Linked DNA regions of Caenorhabditis elegans. The protein of the gene in region 1 purifies or fractionates together with the protein of each later gene. This does not show direct contact. Each region holds a gene or a part of one and is shown in the gene's direction. Other genes may lie near its edges. The genes, in order: ttr-5, pqn-74, arf-1 and pinn-1.

Region 1 (2,898 bases):
CTCCGTTCTGGGGATCTTGTGGTTGCCTTTGACGTCATTCTTTGATCTCCATTATCATTATTTCCTCTGTTACTTTGCCTACTTTCAGTTTTTCTTCCTTTTGGTGTTTCAGCTCTTTTCCTAGGTTTCATAGGTGTCATTGGCTTCCAATCATCTGATGGCATTGGATTCTTATCAGGTGTCCATTTTGAATTGACTCCAAATGCTTTCATAGTTCCATCTTCCATCATTAAATCTGAATATGCATTTCTGATTGCATCAGACTTCACTCTATCCATATCCTTTGCTATCTGTTCAGCCTGCCGTGAGTCTCCTCTGACAACTGCGTCGCTTCTCTTGTGACTCAAATCGACAAGTTGTTTCTCGGCTTTTGATAGATCATCACAAGCTGATTGGCACAAATGTGATTTGACAGGTTCGTCCTTGTCACGATGCTCAAGGGACATGACTCGGAGATTGTTACGGAGAGTTCGGACTGATGCCAATGGATCGGCTCCAACATCTGAGCTCCGTTCGTCGTAGCCTTGCATTTTATACTCATTTTTGGGTCTGCAAGGTATCTAGTGAGGTAACGGATCATGAAAAACTGCACGATGTCTAGGATTTTGAAAGCTATTAATACAACTGACTTCTGACAATGAATCCAGAAATCAAAAAAGTACTTACAATCCATAATCTCCAATCTCTTTCTTCTCTTTTTCTTTTTCTTTGTCTATTGGCTTGAATCTTCCACCATTCCTCGAGCTCGCACGACTTCCCATTCCAGCAGCATTCCGTCGTTCTTTGTAATCGTCGTACTCCAGATCAAAGTTCCTAGATGACGACATTGGGGGAAGAATAATAGTTGTAAAAAAATATTTTGAAGAAAGTTTGGAAAGAAGGACGATGCTTGGAGCTAATCTATAATTCCCTTTTCTTTACATTTTTTTTGTTGGGTGTGTTACTATGGAAAGGAGAATAATGAAATGTTGAAAAGAAACAAATATACTAAACAAAAATTATATCGAAGGTTAAAGGAAAGCAGGTGTTTTGAGTAATACATTCTTCAATTAAACACTTTCAGGCGTAAGGAAGGCATGCAACAGGCATGTAAATAAGAATGTTAGTTGGGAAATATGATGATCGTGGGTCTGTCTACCTAAGAGCCTGCATGTTAACCATTTACCTTCGTACATGCCTATTCTGACCTTTCTCTTTGCCGGATGTTTGTTTTTAGGTTTTGGTCATAATGTTGACATCAACCTTTGGCATATCTTATTGAGTTTGTTCTCTTTGTATTTTTTTTCATACAGTTTCGGATACGTTTTCCTGGCTAGAGTTTCCCAGGTATGACTACTTGTTTGATTCTAATTGAAAGGTCACTTTTGTTTTTTATGTTTTTTAATGAATTAGTTGGTGTTTGACTTGTTTACAATTGTCTGATACACCATTTGTTTTGAAAATGATATACTTTGAGGTAACAAATAATCAGATCATCTCTTAGTATATTTTCTCGTACAGGTGTATATAAATTGATTAAATCTACTTATTTTCCATGGAAACTAATACAATTTGTGGACTACAACCACACTTTTCTGTCAAGCTTTTTTTTTATCAAAAAGATATATAACAACAAATCTCTCTTTTTTTCCGAATTATCTTCTTTTTCTTATCTTTTCCTGAGATTTCGTAAACATGTTGTTTTCTGAGAGCATAGCTATTGGTTCTTTGTTGGTTCCATTCTTCCATCCCGGCCTTTTTTACTTTATCATTTTGTTCTCAACAAAAGAATTTCAGAATGAAGCTTATAATCCTTTTGTGCCTTGTTGCCTCAAGCTATGCTTTAATTGGAAATACCCAATCGGCTGGAGTACGTGGAAAACTGATCTGCAATGGAAAACCAGCTGTTGGAGTTTTGGTCAAGTTGTATGATGATGATAGAGGTAATCAAAAACTTTTTTGAATATTTCCTAAAAGTCTATTTCTAGGAATCGATGCCGATGATTTGATGGCTTCTGGAAAGACCAATGGCAACGGAGATTTTGAAATTTCTGGACACGAAGATGAAGTGACTCCAATCGACCCAAAACTTAACATTTACCATGACTGCAATGATGGAATTAAGGTTTCTGGATGACTTTATTACATTTTAAGATAATTGAATTTTCAGCCCTGCCAACGCAAGTTCACTATCAAGATCCCAGATAGCTACATCAACAAGGGAAAGGTAAGAAGATTAAAAAAACTGGAAGTAAACTGAAATTAATATTTTCAGACTGTCCGTAATATTTACGATGCCGGAGTCATTCAACTTGCTGGATCTTTCCCAGGAGAAGGACGTGACTGTCTTCACTAAACTTACCAACTTATATATACTCTTTTTTCTTGAAATAAATCTTTTTAAAATAACAATTTTGGATTGCAACTTCAAATTTTTCAGAGAAAACATTTCGATCCTATTTTCTATAAAAATAAAGTATAACTGGAATATTCAGGAATGCAATAAATATAGATATTTTCCCTATAGTGCAAGAATCACAGGGGATACTGCAATCCTCGAAAACACATTTTATCCGTGATTTCGAATTTTAAAAAACTCATTGAAATATTTAAAATCATTCCTAGAAGATTATCGTTGTAAATTTTATAAATACCACCAATTTGTGCTGGATATTGAATTGAATTTTTTTAATATCGACAGTAATCTACTACGGCCAACAATTTTCGTACCGTCACTTGGTGTAATGTCCGCAAACACCACCACGTCGGAATGCACAAACTGGCCAACACGCATTCTTTTTTATTGTGTCTTCTTTTTTCTTTTTTAAAGTTATAAATATTGACGTTATTTAAAGCATAGAATTGTGAGAGAATGGAAAAACGCATCTAAATACTTTGAAATATAATATTCTCTTCAAA
Region 2 (4,444 bases), on another chromosome or scaffold:
AAGATTGCTCAACGTGAGTCTAAAGACAATGATCTGAACACAGAGAGGATACTACCTGTGTCAGATAATCTTGTTCACAGATAAATGAGTGCCAATGCATGGTGCATCGAGAGATAAAGAAAAAGAGATGGCACTTGACGGAGCCGCCGCCGCGAGCACATGGATGACCGAGTTGTGCCGCGCGGGCGCGCGGATCTCTCTCTCCAAGATATCATTTTCGTTGTTCTCTTCTCACAATCCAACAGGAGCAACAAGCAACATACATACCCCCATACACAAACGGACCCGTTAGACTGTTGAAAAACCAACGAATAGAGTCACTCAACACACATTGTTCGCCTCCCCCCTCCTCACTTGCTCAACTGATGCTTCTTATTGCTCCCAACGGACGATTGGAAGGGCAAACTGGAATAAGATGATGCGCAGGAGAAGCACATGCGGACGAGACGCGGCGTCAACGAGCTCGCGCCCTCCCTCCTTCCTCCCCTCACCAACCTTTTTTTCAATTCTTCACTAATTGTTAGACAGGAGGGGTGGATATATGAAGTGCATATTATACGTACATCGGATACACACTGAGAACTAGGCGACGGGGGGGGGGGGGTGTTCTTCGGAGACCAGAGATTACGGGAAACCGATCCGTGTCTGGAACTTTGGGGGCACGAAAGAAACTTGAGAGAACAGGCTCTAATTGTAGAGCACATGCATGTCATACAGCGAACATGTTTGAAGTTTTGAATACAATTGATATACAAGTTAAATAAGCAGCGGACATCAATCCAGGTTCGCTATTGAAACGTGTGCCAGATTTTCACAAAGTTCGCCTAATTTGAGCACAATGTAAACGAACATCCGAAAAGTTCTCAATGTGCACTGACTAGGTCTGAACATCGAAAAATCGAGTTTTTACGCATTTTTTTCAATTGCCGGAAAATTTCAGTTTTGCAAAAAATATTTCAAGATTTTTTTCCTGAAAAAAATCAAAAAAAATCTGAAAGAATAGCGTTACGTCTCCATGGGTTTCCGAGACGAACAAAATTTTTTTCTATATGAGCGTGCGCTACAGTAACCCGCTCTTTTTTTTGGGGGATTTTTCAAAAACGTTTTTCTACAGAATAATATTTTGAAGAAAAAATGGGCAGTACTTCTTACTGTACTTCTGTACTTCTTAACGGCGCAGATACTTTTTGCGCGACCTCAATTTGAAAATATTAAGTTCGCTTTGAGAGTAGATCCTGTAAAAATTAAGCGTACTGTAGATTTTTTAAACATTTTAAAATCGCTTTTATAATCATCAGAAACAACAATTATCCATTTTTACGAGCGAAAATTGGCAATTTTAGACGATTCAAAAATTTTTGCAATATTTCATTTAAATTCCCAAATAATTTTTATGAATTGTGAAGTGATTTTGTACCGTAACCTTTTGTTTCCAGCTATCAAAAATGATGCAAATCAGAGAGAAAAGCTCAAGTAGAACGACACAAATAAACTTGAGTCAACAAGAACCAAAAGATGAAATATCTAGCGTCTAGAAGCTTCTTTTCCCATAACCTTCGGCCTTGCTTGACGCCGCAAAGCCAAAAAAGAGACTTGTAGTAGTGTAAGAGAACCAACTACTTAAACGGTTTCTGCGAAAGCATGCTCGAGTACACTACTGTCTGTAGTAAGTTGCCAATTTGCACGGACACACGGGTTTTGTTTGTTTACTCTGACAAACACAGTTTTTGATTTTCAAAAAATATGAACATAGAAAGCAAGAGAGAAGAGAGGGGGTATCAATTCCTATTGTAATCTTGTTAATCTATTTACAAGTATTCGCGGTGAGAAGTGGGTCGACGGGTGCGCGTGCGCTCCTCTCTCCGCATGCCATTCCACTGATGAGTTCCGGATTAGGGCGGGCTGAGAGAACCGCCTACTTCGGAGAGGGCGCGGGAGCCCTCCCCAGGTGTGCTCCAGAGCCAAATCGTATAAAAGCGCGACGAGTTTGCCGATTGAGCATCACACTAGCTTCTTCTCACTCATACACACATGGCGCGCTTCCTCCTCATTATCGGATGCGCTACTCTCGCAGGTTTATCACTTTTTTCTGATTTTTTAACAATTTTAACATTTTGTTTCATTCTTCCTTGATAACCTTTTCCATTTTCTTATAGCTCTCGCATCTTGCGAATCCAAGAGTGGTGAGGAAACTCCACAATACTGGAGAGCCATTCTTGGTGATATCTGCCAATTGCCATCGTTCCCTAGAGCCACTGGTGATCCAACCCGTTATGTTGAATGTGTTCGTCAATCCTCATTTGCTGCCGATAGGTAAGCCATTTTGATACTGAATACCTTTTTACCTTCATCCGCCTTCTCACATTTCCAGAAAAGATCTCGGAATCTGGCTTCTTCGTGAATGCCTCCCAGGATACGAGTTTGTTGCCTCCGCTCGCCGTTGTAAGACTGTCCGTTCTGTCAACAAACAACAAGTAATCCTTTACCTTTCACTCTTCAACCTTTTGTTTATCTTCTTGTTTATAGGAACTTTGCGAGTCTGCCAATGCCACCGAGTACAACTTCTGCCCAACTGCCTCGGCCATGCAATTCCTCGTTGAGGAGACCCGTGAGGCTCCAAGACAGTGCGCCTGTCCAAATGGAGAGCAAAACTGTGTCTGCCCATCGCCGGAAATCCTCGAGCCAATCTCTGCTGTCAAGAAGGTCCGCAGATCTGCCCAGCAACAGCCATTGAGATTCTCCCAATACCCATCATGCCCATGCCCACAGAACCAACCAGCCTGCACATGCTCTACCAACAATCAGCAGAATGAGCAGATCCTTGTCTCCATCTCCTGCTGCCAACAACAAGAGACCACCACCCAGGCTCCAGTTCAGATGCAACCATGCCAGTGCACCCCAACCCAAATTCAACAGAACTGCCAAACCACAACCACCCAGCAACAATACTGCCCACAACAATCTGCTCCAGTTGTCCAGCCACAGCCATGCCCACTCGGTAAGATCTTATGGTTCTAGAATCTACAATCTAAACCTTTCTATTTCAGTCCAAGGATCCGGAGTTCAAAACGCTCAATACCAAGGAATCTGCTCATGGATGATCGACCCACTTGCCACTGACCCACAATCCCGCACTCACTACCTTCAATGCCAGCCAGCTCCAAACAACTTGTTCTGCGGAAGATGGCAACGTATGCCATGTGCCCCAGGAACCGTCTTCGACGTCCAATCCCAAGTCTGCGTCTGGGACACCAACAGCCAGCCAGGAACTCTTCCAACTCCAGCCCCATACGTCTCCACCCAGGCTCCACAGAACGCTCAATGCGGATGCACCGGAGGAGTTCAAATCGGATCATGCAACCAAAACTACCAGTGCCCAGGACAATCGGTCTGCCAAGTCGGACAAAATGCCGGACAACAGGTAAGAGAGTAGTGTCTAGAAGCAAGAGATCGGCAACCAATTCAACCGGTTTCCGTTCTTGTGTGTGGCAATTGAGACGATTACAATAGGGACGGGGGTGTGTAAGAATGGGGAGGGAGGCTCGAATAGATCATAAGCAAACGAACACTCTTTCAGTGCATGGTTTGCTGCTACTTCCGCAAGAAGGCCCGTCGTTTCTAATCGATCGAACATCTCACACACATCATCATCGAACCAAAAACTGCTACAATCTTCTCGCCTTTTTGTATATACCGTGAAGAAAACAACAATCATGAAACGGATACGCATAGACAACCATAATTGTACCGCCTAGTTTGCCCTCACTTTTCCCCCGTCTTCCCCCAAATCCCCAATCCTTATTTGTATTCCGAATTGTCCAATGTCTAGGGTTTTCTCTCCAATGATAACTATTATATAACTTATGATGGTACTTCAATAAATATATATTTTCAATACTTTTCTGGTTTTTGTCTGATACCCCGGATTTGCAGTGATTTTAATGGTTTGTTCAAATATTTTAAACTCAAATACTTTGCTTATTGGAAAAATGTTTTCAACTAACAAAGTATTGACGAAAACTTTTTCTACACTTTGGATTTTTCAAAATTATACAACTCTGTTCCAGAAAAAAAGCTACAGCAGCTGACATCAGGCGGGTCGGTTTTTTTATTAGAATTTCCAAGTATCTAAACGCTTGGTGTTTTCATAAAACAAAGTTTAATAAGAAAATAATTTTCGCAGTTTTCTACTTTTTGCAATTTGTTTGTATTTCATATGAATCTCAAATTTCGAAATACATTTAATAAACATTTAAATTGTTATTGGTTTTTTAGTGGAGTACTTAAGCAATTATAGGAAGTGCAAATTGCAAAATGTAAAAAACTTTGTGGAGATAATTTTCTTAGTGTACCTTGTTTCATGAAAACACCTAATTTCAAAGGTACTTATTTTTAAATGACAACAAGCTTATTTTGGTAAAATAATTGAAAAAAAAACAATTTA
Region 3 (3,573 bases), 3.6 Mb from region 1:
CCTTGACAAGTTCCCATTATTTTTTCGTTCATTTTTGTTGTTTGCATTATTTCTATCGATATATCTCATTGATGAAAAAGCCAGCAAAAAAGAGCAAAAGAGAGCAATAACTCCACTAAATGAGAAAAATAAAGTAAAAGAATACATAATGGCTGTGATCTCGAAAAAAAATCAGCGAAAGAATAAAAGACGGGCCACTGAAAAGTGAACGAGTACAAAAAGAGCCCCTCCCGAGTGACGAGTAAAAAACGAGTTAATTTTCAATAAAACACAGGTATTTTTGCGGAAACCGGTGTGTTTTCGTCGTATTTAGCCGTGAATTGCCAGAAAATAAATGATTTTAATTTTTTTTTTCTTTGTTCTTTCTTAACTTTATTCCTCCAATTTTTCTTGCTTCGACGTTGCAATCGTCACATTTTATCTTTGATTTGATCGTCATTTCATTTATTTCCGAATTTGAACGCAAAAAGCTCGAAAATCAAGGTTTGTGACTCCTAATAATTACTGCAGAAAGTAAGAAATTCTCGGCATTTTGAAAGGCGGAAAGATGAACTATCCTAGATTGGCGCAAAGGCATTGATCTATACTGTCTGCGGCGGCCGGTTTCTATTAAGCTTTCATTTTTCTCCAGCACATTCTTCAGAAGCGCCACATTGCTTTAGTCGGAAATGCGGGTCATCTATTTAGAAAGTTTGGCGCTTTGTATTTGATTTAATATTAATTTTCTCATCTGATTCTATTTATTAGTCACAGTATCTCGTGCTGCACTCTTGTGACACGTGTCCTTTTTTCAGAGTTTTTAATTGCGTCACGATTTTCAAAATTTCTCAACAATGCGCTCGCGTTCAATAGGTTTTTCTTCTCTCAAAAAGCATTTTTCATCACTTTCTTAATGTTGCAGTTTATCGTCTTATCACTCGAAAAAGTTTGTTTCAAAGTTCAAATTTTAGAACTTTCGGGTTCATTCAATCAATCAATCAAGATTTCACTGAAGGATTGAAAGATTCAACGTACGGCTGACGTGGAGTCAGTAGAAGGAACTCGAACATTACTATTCTCGTTCCTGTGTGTATGTGTTCTTCATCCTTCCGTCCTGCACTAGCGGACAAATTTGGACGGTCTCTTGTTCTTTTTCGCTCTCTCCTCATCTCTTGCGGTACTTTCACGTCTCGGTCTCTTCACTTATTGCCATCTATCTCCTCTTATTCGACCGCTGCGCAACGCACGCGACGCGCCCAGCGAACAAGACAAAAAGCAGCGTCGAGAGGTTGAGAGAGGAAGAGACACTCCACTGGTCGCCAGAGACTGCTGTGCTAGTGACACGTTGGACGGTGTAGCCGATGTATTTCTGCTGGATTCTCGCTCCTTGCGCCTGTTATAGATATCCATCTCCTTGCCACGTTTTACCCGATTCTTCCTCCTTCCAATCGTCTTCCGTACTTTTTTCTCCGATTGTCGTTGCTGGCATTTTCACGTATTGGATTTGAAATCTTCCCGAATTTTTCGCAATTTCCCACGAAGATTATTGATTCAGCTTTCACATTTTATTAGCGTTCCTTTTCACTTCCATCGGTTCCTCTTCTGAAATTCAATAATTTAATTTATTAATCAATTTATAGAATGGGAAACGTGTTCGGCAGCTTATTTAAAGGCCTCTTCGGCAAACGGGAGATGCGTATTCTGATGGTTGGATTGGATGCTGCCGGAAAGACTACGATTTTGTACAAGTTGAAGCTGGGCGAGATTGTCACGACTATCCCAACTATTGGTGAGTCATTGGGACGTTTTTTTGTTGCGAAAGAACGGTTCACAATGAGTCATAATTTTTATTCATATTTCAGGATTCAACGTGGAGACTGTCGAATACAAGAACATTTCATTCACCGTGTGGGATGTCGGAGGTCAGGACAAGATCCGTCCACTCTGGAGGCATTATTTCCAGAACACACAAGGTTAGTGATTTACGAGAATAGTTTGCGGATCAGCTTATCACCCGCAAGAATTCACAGACTGTCCAAAAAAAATGCTCTATTGATTATATTTTCTTGCAGGACTTATCTTTGTTGTTGATTCCAACGATCGTGAACGTGTTGGAGAGGCTCGTGAAGAGCTGATGCGTATGCTCGCCGAGGATGAGCTTCGTGATGCCGTTCTTCTGGTCTTCGCCAACAAACAAGATCTTCCACAAGCCATGAACGCCGCTGAGGTCACTGACAAGCTCGGGCTCCACTCGCTCAGAAATCGATCGTGGTATATTCAGGTGAGATATTTTTAATCAGCAGTTTCTCATCTGATATTTTAAAACTAAAGAAATTCACTATTTTTCAATAATAAATTAATTCCAGGCCACATGTGCGACATCAGGAGATGGTCTCTATGAAGGACTCGATTGGCTCAGCAACCAGCTCAAGAATAGATCTTAAATCATTTTTCTGAATCCACCTTCGACGAATAAACGACTACGAATCATCCGTTTTTGTTATTCGTTTCAACTCCTTTCTTCTCCCCATTCATTCTCTTTGTTCTTCTCTGTTCCATTTGAAATTCCCTCTCCCATCCCTTAGGCTTTTTAATTTGATCACCATCGCCCTCTTCTACTTTTTCAACCCAATTTTTATTTAAAGCCCCAATTCATTTGTCGTCTATTTCTTCTTAACTTCCAAATCCGACATTTTTTCTTATCCGATTACATTTGGAACCGCTCCTGACGGGAATAATATGTAAGTTATTCATTGTTTTTCTCTCCATTTTTGACCTGCTCCGCCCTCCATCTCCCTCAAATATTCCCTGAAACAGTGTTGTGTAACGAGAAGAAGTATGAACGTGTTTCTCTTCTCTTGTTGAACCATTATTCTATTTTTGTGATTTTTGCGCGTAATTGCACACAAACCTACACACAAATCTCGTTTTCATCGTTCCCTTCCCCTCGAACCTTTAATTTCGCTTCTCTTCTATTTCGTATCGAACACTGTTTTGCTTTTCCTCAATTTTTCCGTATTATAGTATCATATTCACCATTTTTTTTGTCGTGGAGTAAATTATTATGTTATATTCACCTGTTGATAATGACAATATGAAAGTATGAAAATGATCTTTTTCCTCAATTTGGACAAGAAATGTTAATTTTTAAGGGTAATTTATTAACACATGAGGCGTTATACTATGTGCAAAAATTTTTAATACGGAAAAACTAAATTCTGGAATTTCGTATTGTGCAACTTGTCTGGCGCACAGATATCACGTAGCGAAAAATACAGAAATTATTTACATTACTACTGTAGCCATGGTCTGATTTTGCTTTGTTCTTTTTCACTTTTTGACTCGGAATGACAGAAAAAAGAAAAATAGGATGAAATTCAAATATTTCGGTCACAATTCGAAAATAAATTATGTTCTAAAATCGAGCCCGTAAATCGACACAAGCGCAACAGTAGTCATTTAGAGAATTACTGTAGTTTTCGCTACGAGATATTTTGCGCGTCGAACATGTTGCTCAATGCGCATTCTCAGTGTTCACGTAATACACTGAAAATACAGTAATCCTACAGTGCTTCTAATGTACCCTGATACTAT
Region 4 (5,563 bases), on another chromosome or scaffold:
AAAAAAAAATTTTAAGATTTTTTAAAAATAATTTTGATTTTTTGGCCTAAAAATCAAAATTTTGGCCTTAACATTAAAGGATTTAGCCTTAAAATTTTGGATTTTTTGAATTTAAAAACAAAAAAAAATTGAATTTTTGGTTTAAAAATCGTCAAAATCGCCCGGAAAATTGGAAAATTCACTTTTTCCTAAGAAAAATCGGAAAAAATGGTCCATTTTTCGAAAAACTGAATTTTTTGACAAAATTTTTACGCCAAATTTTGGATTTTTCCACCAAAAAAAACCCATGAAATCGCTCGAAAAATTAGAAAAATCGCCTTTTTTTTCGGAAATTTTTAAGCCGATTTTGTGAAAAATGCGAAAAAATTGCCCCGGATTCGCTAATTTTTTGGGTTTTTTTAGTAAAAAAATCGTCAAAATCTCCCGGAAAATTGGACAAATCGCAATTTTCACCAATTTTCAGCCCAAAAAACCGAAATTTAGCCTAAAACTGCCAAATCGCTCGGATAATTAGAAAATTCACAAGTTTCACCAATTTTTTAAAGCTATTTTCTCAGATTTTTGCCTAAAAATTGCCAAAATCTGCTGGACAAATTAGAAAATTCGCAATTTTTACCCATTTTTGGCCATTTTCTGGGTTTTTCCGCAAAAAAACCAGATTTTTGTGTTAAAATCGGCCGGAAAATTGGAAAAATCGGATAAAAATGGTCGATTTTTACCGAAAATCGTCCAATTTTCGACATTCTTGTACAAAACCCCGAAAAATTCCAATTTTTTGCCAATTTTTCCATTTTTCGACCAAAAAACTGATTTTTCGTGCGAAAATTGCGCCAAATCACTCGAAAAATTGCAAAATTCGCATTTATAGGCCGATTTTTTAGAAAGTCGGCGAAACATTAAGCCATTTTCGAAGTTTCTCGGGAAAAAACAGCGAAAAAATCGAATTTTCGCTTGTTTTTTGCTGGATTCGTATTTAAAATGCAATTTTCATCAATTTTCCCATCGAAAAACCGGAAATAACCTGCAAAAACCCCTTTTAATCGCCAAAATTATGCGAAATTCGCGAAATTATTAATTCACCTCTTCTCCGAGAGGACTCCGTGGCCGCGACGACCGATTCTCCATAGAGCGCGCTTGCCTAAAATCGATTTCTCGGCCGCGTTAATCAATTTCCATCATTTTTCACCAATTTTTAACCAATTTCTTGCAGAAAACATCCATCCTACGTGTACGATTTCTCGAAAGCACCCAGCGAATGTTGTACAAGAGTCAACGGATCGAATATTCCATAATTTATTGCATTTTATCGCATTTTTTACTGAATACGGGCCAATTTTCCAGATTTCTACGGTTTTTCCGCGCATAATAATTGTCTTTCTCGTATAAATATTGCATTTTTCCACATTTAAACCGATTTTATTCATTTTTCCCCCCGAAAAATCGTTGATTTTTCCCAGAAATACCTATTTTTACGCAAAATCCCCAGAAAAACCCATACATTCTCACAGATGTCCGATAATTCGCTGCCAGCCGGATGGGAAAAGCGTCAGAGCCGCTCGAATGGTTGGAAATTCGCGAAATTCTGCGAAAAAAATCGATAATTTTTCCAGATCGCGTCTACTACTTCAACACGGCCACCGGCCGCAGCCAATGGGAGCGCCCAGACGAGTCGGCGTTTGGAAAAGTGAGAAAATGGCAATTTTTAGCTGATTTTTCGCTCAAAATCACTCAAAATTCGTGATTTTTCGCGTTTTTTCACCCAAAAACCCCGCAAAAATCGATATTTTTCCAGGGAAGCGAGCTAAAATCCGTCCAATGCCTTCATTTGCTCGTAAAACACGATGGAAGCCGTAATCCATCGTCTTGGCGGTCCGATCACATCACAAGATCCAAGGATGACGCGATTAACATCCTCAAAAGTGCGGATTTGCGGAATTTTCGTGAAAAATCGGATTTTTTAGCTCGAAAAACGTGTTTTTCCTGTAAAAAATGCCAAAAAAACCGGATTTTCGCCAATTTTTTATATTAAAAACCTGAAAAACCGTGCGGAAATTTAATTTTTAGCCGAAATTTTCGATTTTTCTCGAGAAAATTTCTTAAAAAAGCAAATTCTCTGATTTTTGACCAATTTTCCGCGCAAAAAACCGATTTTTAATTGAAAAATCGCGTTGAAACCCCGAAAAATTACGATTTTTTAGAGTTTTAACCCGAAAATTGCCAATTTTCTGATTTTTAGCGGAAAATTAGTGAAATTTTCATGAAAATGGCAAGTTTTTCGGCTGTTTAGCTCAAATACTAAATTTTTCTCGGAAAAATCCGGATTTTTCACATTTTAAACCCCCAAAATGCGGATTTTCAGCACTAAAAATTGTTTTTTATTATGAAAAATTGGTTCTCAAAAATCCCAAAAAAATGCGATTTTCTCTAATTTTACCCGGAAAAATGGGTTTTTAATCGATTTTTCTTCATTTTTCAGCCTAAAATCGGCATTTCAGTCAGTTTTTCACCGTTTTTGTCCGAAAAAAGCACTAAAATTGCCGTTTTTTGCTTTAAAAAAATGAAATTTTTGACTAAAAATTGTATAAAAAAAACGAGAATTTCGGGAAATTTGCGGTTTTTCGCATTTTTTCCTTAAAAATCACTTGAAAAACCGAGAAACATTTTGATTTTTCAGAGTAATGAGCCGAAAATTGCCAATTTCCTGAATTTTAGCCGCAAAAATTCCAGAAAAAATGATTTTTATCGACGTTTTCTTAATTTTCAGCCTAAAATCTGGCATTTTCGCGGAAAAATGGCCAAAAAAGCTCTAAATCACCCATTTTCACAGTAAAAACCTAAAAATTCGCGCGGAAATTCAATTTTCAGCGCTAAAAATCGATTTTCCCCGGGTTTTTGCTGAAAATTGCGGATTTTCTCACATTTAGCCGAAAAATTGGATTTCATCATCGATTTTTCTTCATTTTTGTGTCTAAAATCGGCTAAAAACTGCATTTTGCAGGTTTTTTACTAAAAAAAAAATCGAAAAATAGCTCTATTTTTCGATTTTTCGACAGAAAAAGTATATTTTCGCCGAATTTTCCAATTTTTCAATGATTTTTAAGCTAAAAAATCGGAATTTTTGGTCTAAAAATCAATATTTTTTCATTCAGATTACGAAAAGGAGCTGAAAGATGCGTCGAACATTGAGGGAAAATTCCGTGAACTCGCCAAACAATTCAGCGATTGCAGTTCGGCAAAACGTGGCGGAGATCTTGGGGTACTGTAACCGCCGGGCGGAGGAAAAGTACCGAAAAAACGCAAATTTTTGCCCTGAAAAGTTCAAATTTTGTTGAAAAATGTCGTTTTTCCTGAAATTTTTGTGTGAAAAAGCTTCAAAAATACAATTTTCCTTCGATTTTATAGCTGAAAAAAAGCCTAAAAACCTCTAAAAAGTGAAAAATGCCCAGAAAACTGTCGAATTTCGGGTGAAAAAAGCTCAAAAACGTCCGATTTTTGTCGAAAATCCATTGAAAACTGTTAAAATTATTGAAAAAGCGTCAAAAAGAGCCCCAATTTTCTTGGATTTTAATATGAAAAACCTGAAAAATCTCCGAAAGTCTGAAAAAAAATCGATTTTCACGGAAAACTTTGTTTTTTTTGTAAATTGCTATCAAAAATTCACAAAAAAATGTTCAAAAATTAAAAATATCAAAATTACCCTTAAAATGCTCCGAAAAATACAATTTTTCTTCGAATTTTATGACAAAATCACGAAAAATTGCCTGTAAAATTACCCTGAAAATCAGGGAAAAAAAATCAATTTTAATATAATATTTTAGCTATAAATTTGCGTGAAAAACTGCGAAAAAATTCATTTTTACCAATTTTTCCTCTAAAAACTTGAAAAAAGGTCAATTTTTCGCCTAAAAACCTGCAATTTCAGCTAATTTCACCTCCAAAAAATCTTCAAAAATATCGATTTTTTCACCCCAAAAAACCCAAAAACTCTAAAATTTTCAGCCATTCGAACGTCGTCAAATGCAGAAACCATTCGAAGACGCCTCATTTGCACTGGAAATTGGAGAAATGTCTGATATTGTGGATACTTCATCCGGTGTTCATCTCATCTATCGTATCAAATAAATTGCCTGGAAAAATCGATATTTTATTGTTTTTTTTCTTCAGTATTTTTACTAAAAATCGATATTTTATTGATTTTCTGACCATTTTCTTGGAAAAATCGATAATTTATTGATTTTTTTATTGAAAAATCAATTTTTAATAGAATTTTCACTGAAAAATCGATAATTTATTGATTTTTTTATTGAAAAATCGATTTTTTTAAAGAATTTTCCCTAAAAATCGATATTTTATTGATTTTTTATTGAAAAATCGATTTTTTTTTTCGGTATTTTCACTGAAAAATCGATATTTTATTGATTTTATCGAGAGTTTTCACACTAAAAAATCGATAATTTATTGATTTTTTTAATTGAAAAATCGGTTTTTATAGAATTTTCACTAAAAAATCGATATTTTATTGATTTTTTTTATTGAAAAATCGATAACTTATTGATTTTATTGAGAGTTTTCACACTAAAAAATCGATTTTTGACCATTTTCACTGAAAAATCGATAATTTATTGATTTTTTATTGAAAAATCGTTTTTTAAAAGAATTTTTACTAAAAATTCGATATTTTAATGATTTTTTTTGGACTAAAAAAATTGATTTTTTTTTTGAAATTCTCCGCGAAAAATGATAATTTATTGATTTTTTCAGTATTTTCACTAAAAAATCGATAATCTATCGATTTTTGACCATTTTCCCTAAAAAATCGATATTTTATTGATTTTTTAAATTGAAAAGTCGATAATTTATTGATTTTTCCGCTGCTATTCCTCCAGATATCTCAGTTTTTCCCCCATTTTTCGCTCTCTACTTTTTTTTTGAATTTTATTTGCAAAATGTACCTTTGATTAAATTTCCATATAGTATTTTTTTTTCGATGAAAATTTTTTTTTCATTTTTTTGTGGAATATATGGGTCTCAGCCCTAATGGAATTTTTTTTTAATTAAAAAAAAAAATTTTTTAGTGATTTTCACAGATAATAAGATATTTTTAGAAAATTTTTTGAAAAAAATATTTTTGATTTTTTCTCTGTAATTTTGAAAAAAATCGTTTTTTTTAAATAATGTTTCTGAAAAAATTGAAAAAATCTTTTAAAGAATTTTTAAATGAAAATTTGAAAAATAAAACCATTTTTTGAATTTTTTTTCTGAAAAAAAAAATTTCGAAAGTTATTTTTTTTCAAATTTTTGTCTGAAATTAATTTTAAAAATTATATTTTCATTCAGTTTGGAATAAAGTTCGATAAAAATACTTTTAAAAATTATGAATTTTCAGAAAAAACTGGCAGAAAATGTCTGAAAAAATTAGGTTTTTTTCAGAATTGTTTTTAATTAAAAAAAAAGGTATTTAACAGATTTTTGTTATTTTTTGAATAAAATTTGCTGAAAACTGCCTAAAATTTAAGGAATTTCAGTTTAAAAAACACTCAAAAAAAAAATTTTTTTTTTCAAA

What was found.
Region 2: the proteins of ttr-5 (region 1) and pqn-74 fractionate together in Caenorhabditis elegans (co-fractionation; one large-scale study listed by BioGRID). This does not show direct contact.
Region 3: the proteins of ttr-5 (region 1) and arf-1 fractionate together in Caenorhabditis elegans (co-fractionation; one large-scale study listed by BioGRID). This does not show direct contact.
Region 4: the proteins of ttr-5 (region 1) and pinn-1 fractionate together in Caenorhabditis elegans (co-fractionation; one large-scale study listed by BioGRID). This does not show direct contact.

The regions. Positions count from the first base shown.
Region 1 is NC_003281.10:9,328,540-9,331,437, forward strand, and holds ttr-5 (Transthyretin-like protein 5), read left to right. Parts: upstream 1-1,776; 5' UTR 1,777-1,777; coding exon 1,778-1,922; intron 1,923-1,967; coding exon 1,968-2,104; intron 2,105-2,149; coding exon 2,150-2,206; intron 2,207-2,254; coding exon 2,255-2,335; 3' UTR 2,336-2,389; downstream 2,390-2,898. Other genes in the region: cepr-104.1 (CEntrosomal Protein Related), read right to left, coding at 1-549, 667-827.
Region 2 is NC_003282.8:13,328,961-13,333,404, reverse strand, and holds pqn-74 (Chitin-binding type-2 domain-containing protein), read left to right. Parts: upstream 1-1,998; 5' UTR 1,999-2,031; coding exon 2,032-2,074; intron 2,075-2,154; exon of another isoform or gene 2,155-2,156; coding exon 2,157-2,313; intron 2,314-2,371; coding exon 2,372-2,474; intron 2,475-2,526; coding exon 2,527-2,998; intron 2,999-3,047; coding exon 3,048-3,421; intron 3,422-3,577; coding exon 3,578-3,622; 3' UTR 3,623-3,898; downstream 3,899-4,444. Other genes in the region: far-6 (Fatty-acid and retinol-binding protein 1), read right to left, coding at 4,442-4,444.
Region 3 is NC_003281.10:5,714,496-5,718,068, forward strand, and holds arf-1 (ADP-ribosylation factor 1-like 2), read left to right. Parts: upstream 1-1,619; 5' UTR 1,620-1,620; coding exon 1,621-1,768; intron 1,769-1,841; coding exon 1,842-1,952; intron 1,953-2,051; coding exon 2,052-2,260; intron 2,261-2,345; coding exon 2,346-2,423; 3' UTR 2,424-3,049; downstream 3,050-3,573. UniProt on the Caenorhabditis elegans protein: Small GTPase involved in protein trafficking between different compartments. Modulates vesicle budding and uncoating within the Golgi complex. In its GTP-bound form, triggers the recruitment of coatomer proteins to the Golgi membrane.
Region 4 is NC_003280.10:2,884,951-2,890,513, reverse strand, and holds pinn-1 (Peptidyl-prolyl cis-trans isomerase), read left to right. Parts: upstream 1-1,506; 5' UTR 1,507-1,508; coding exon 1,509-1,563; intron 1,564-1,610; coding exon 1,611-1,684; intron 1,685-1,792; coding exon 1,793-1,919; intron 1,920-3,149; coding exon 3,150-3,256; intron 3,257-3,999; coding exon 4,000-4,122; 3' UTR 4,123-5,000; downstream 5,001-5,563. Other genes in the region: Beta-1,3-galactosyltransferase sqv-2, read left to right, coding at 1,211-1,292.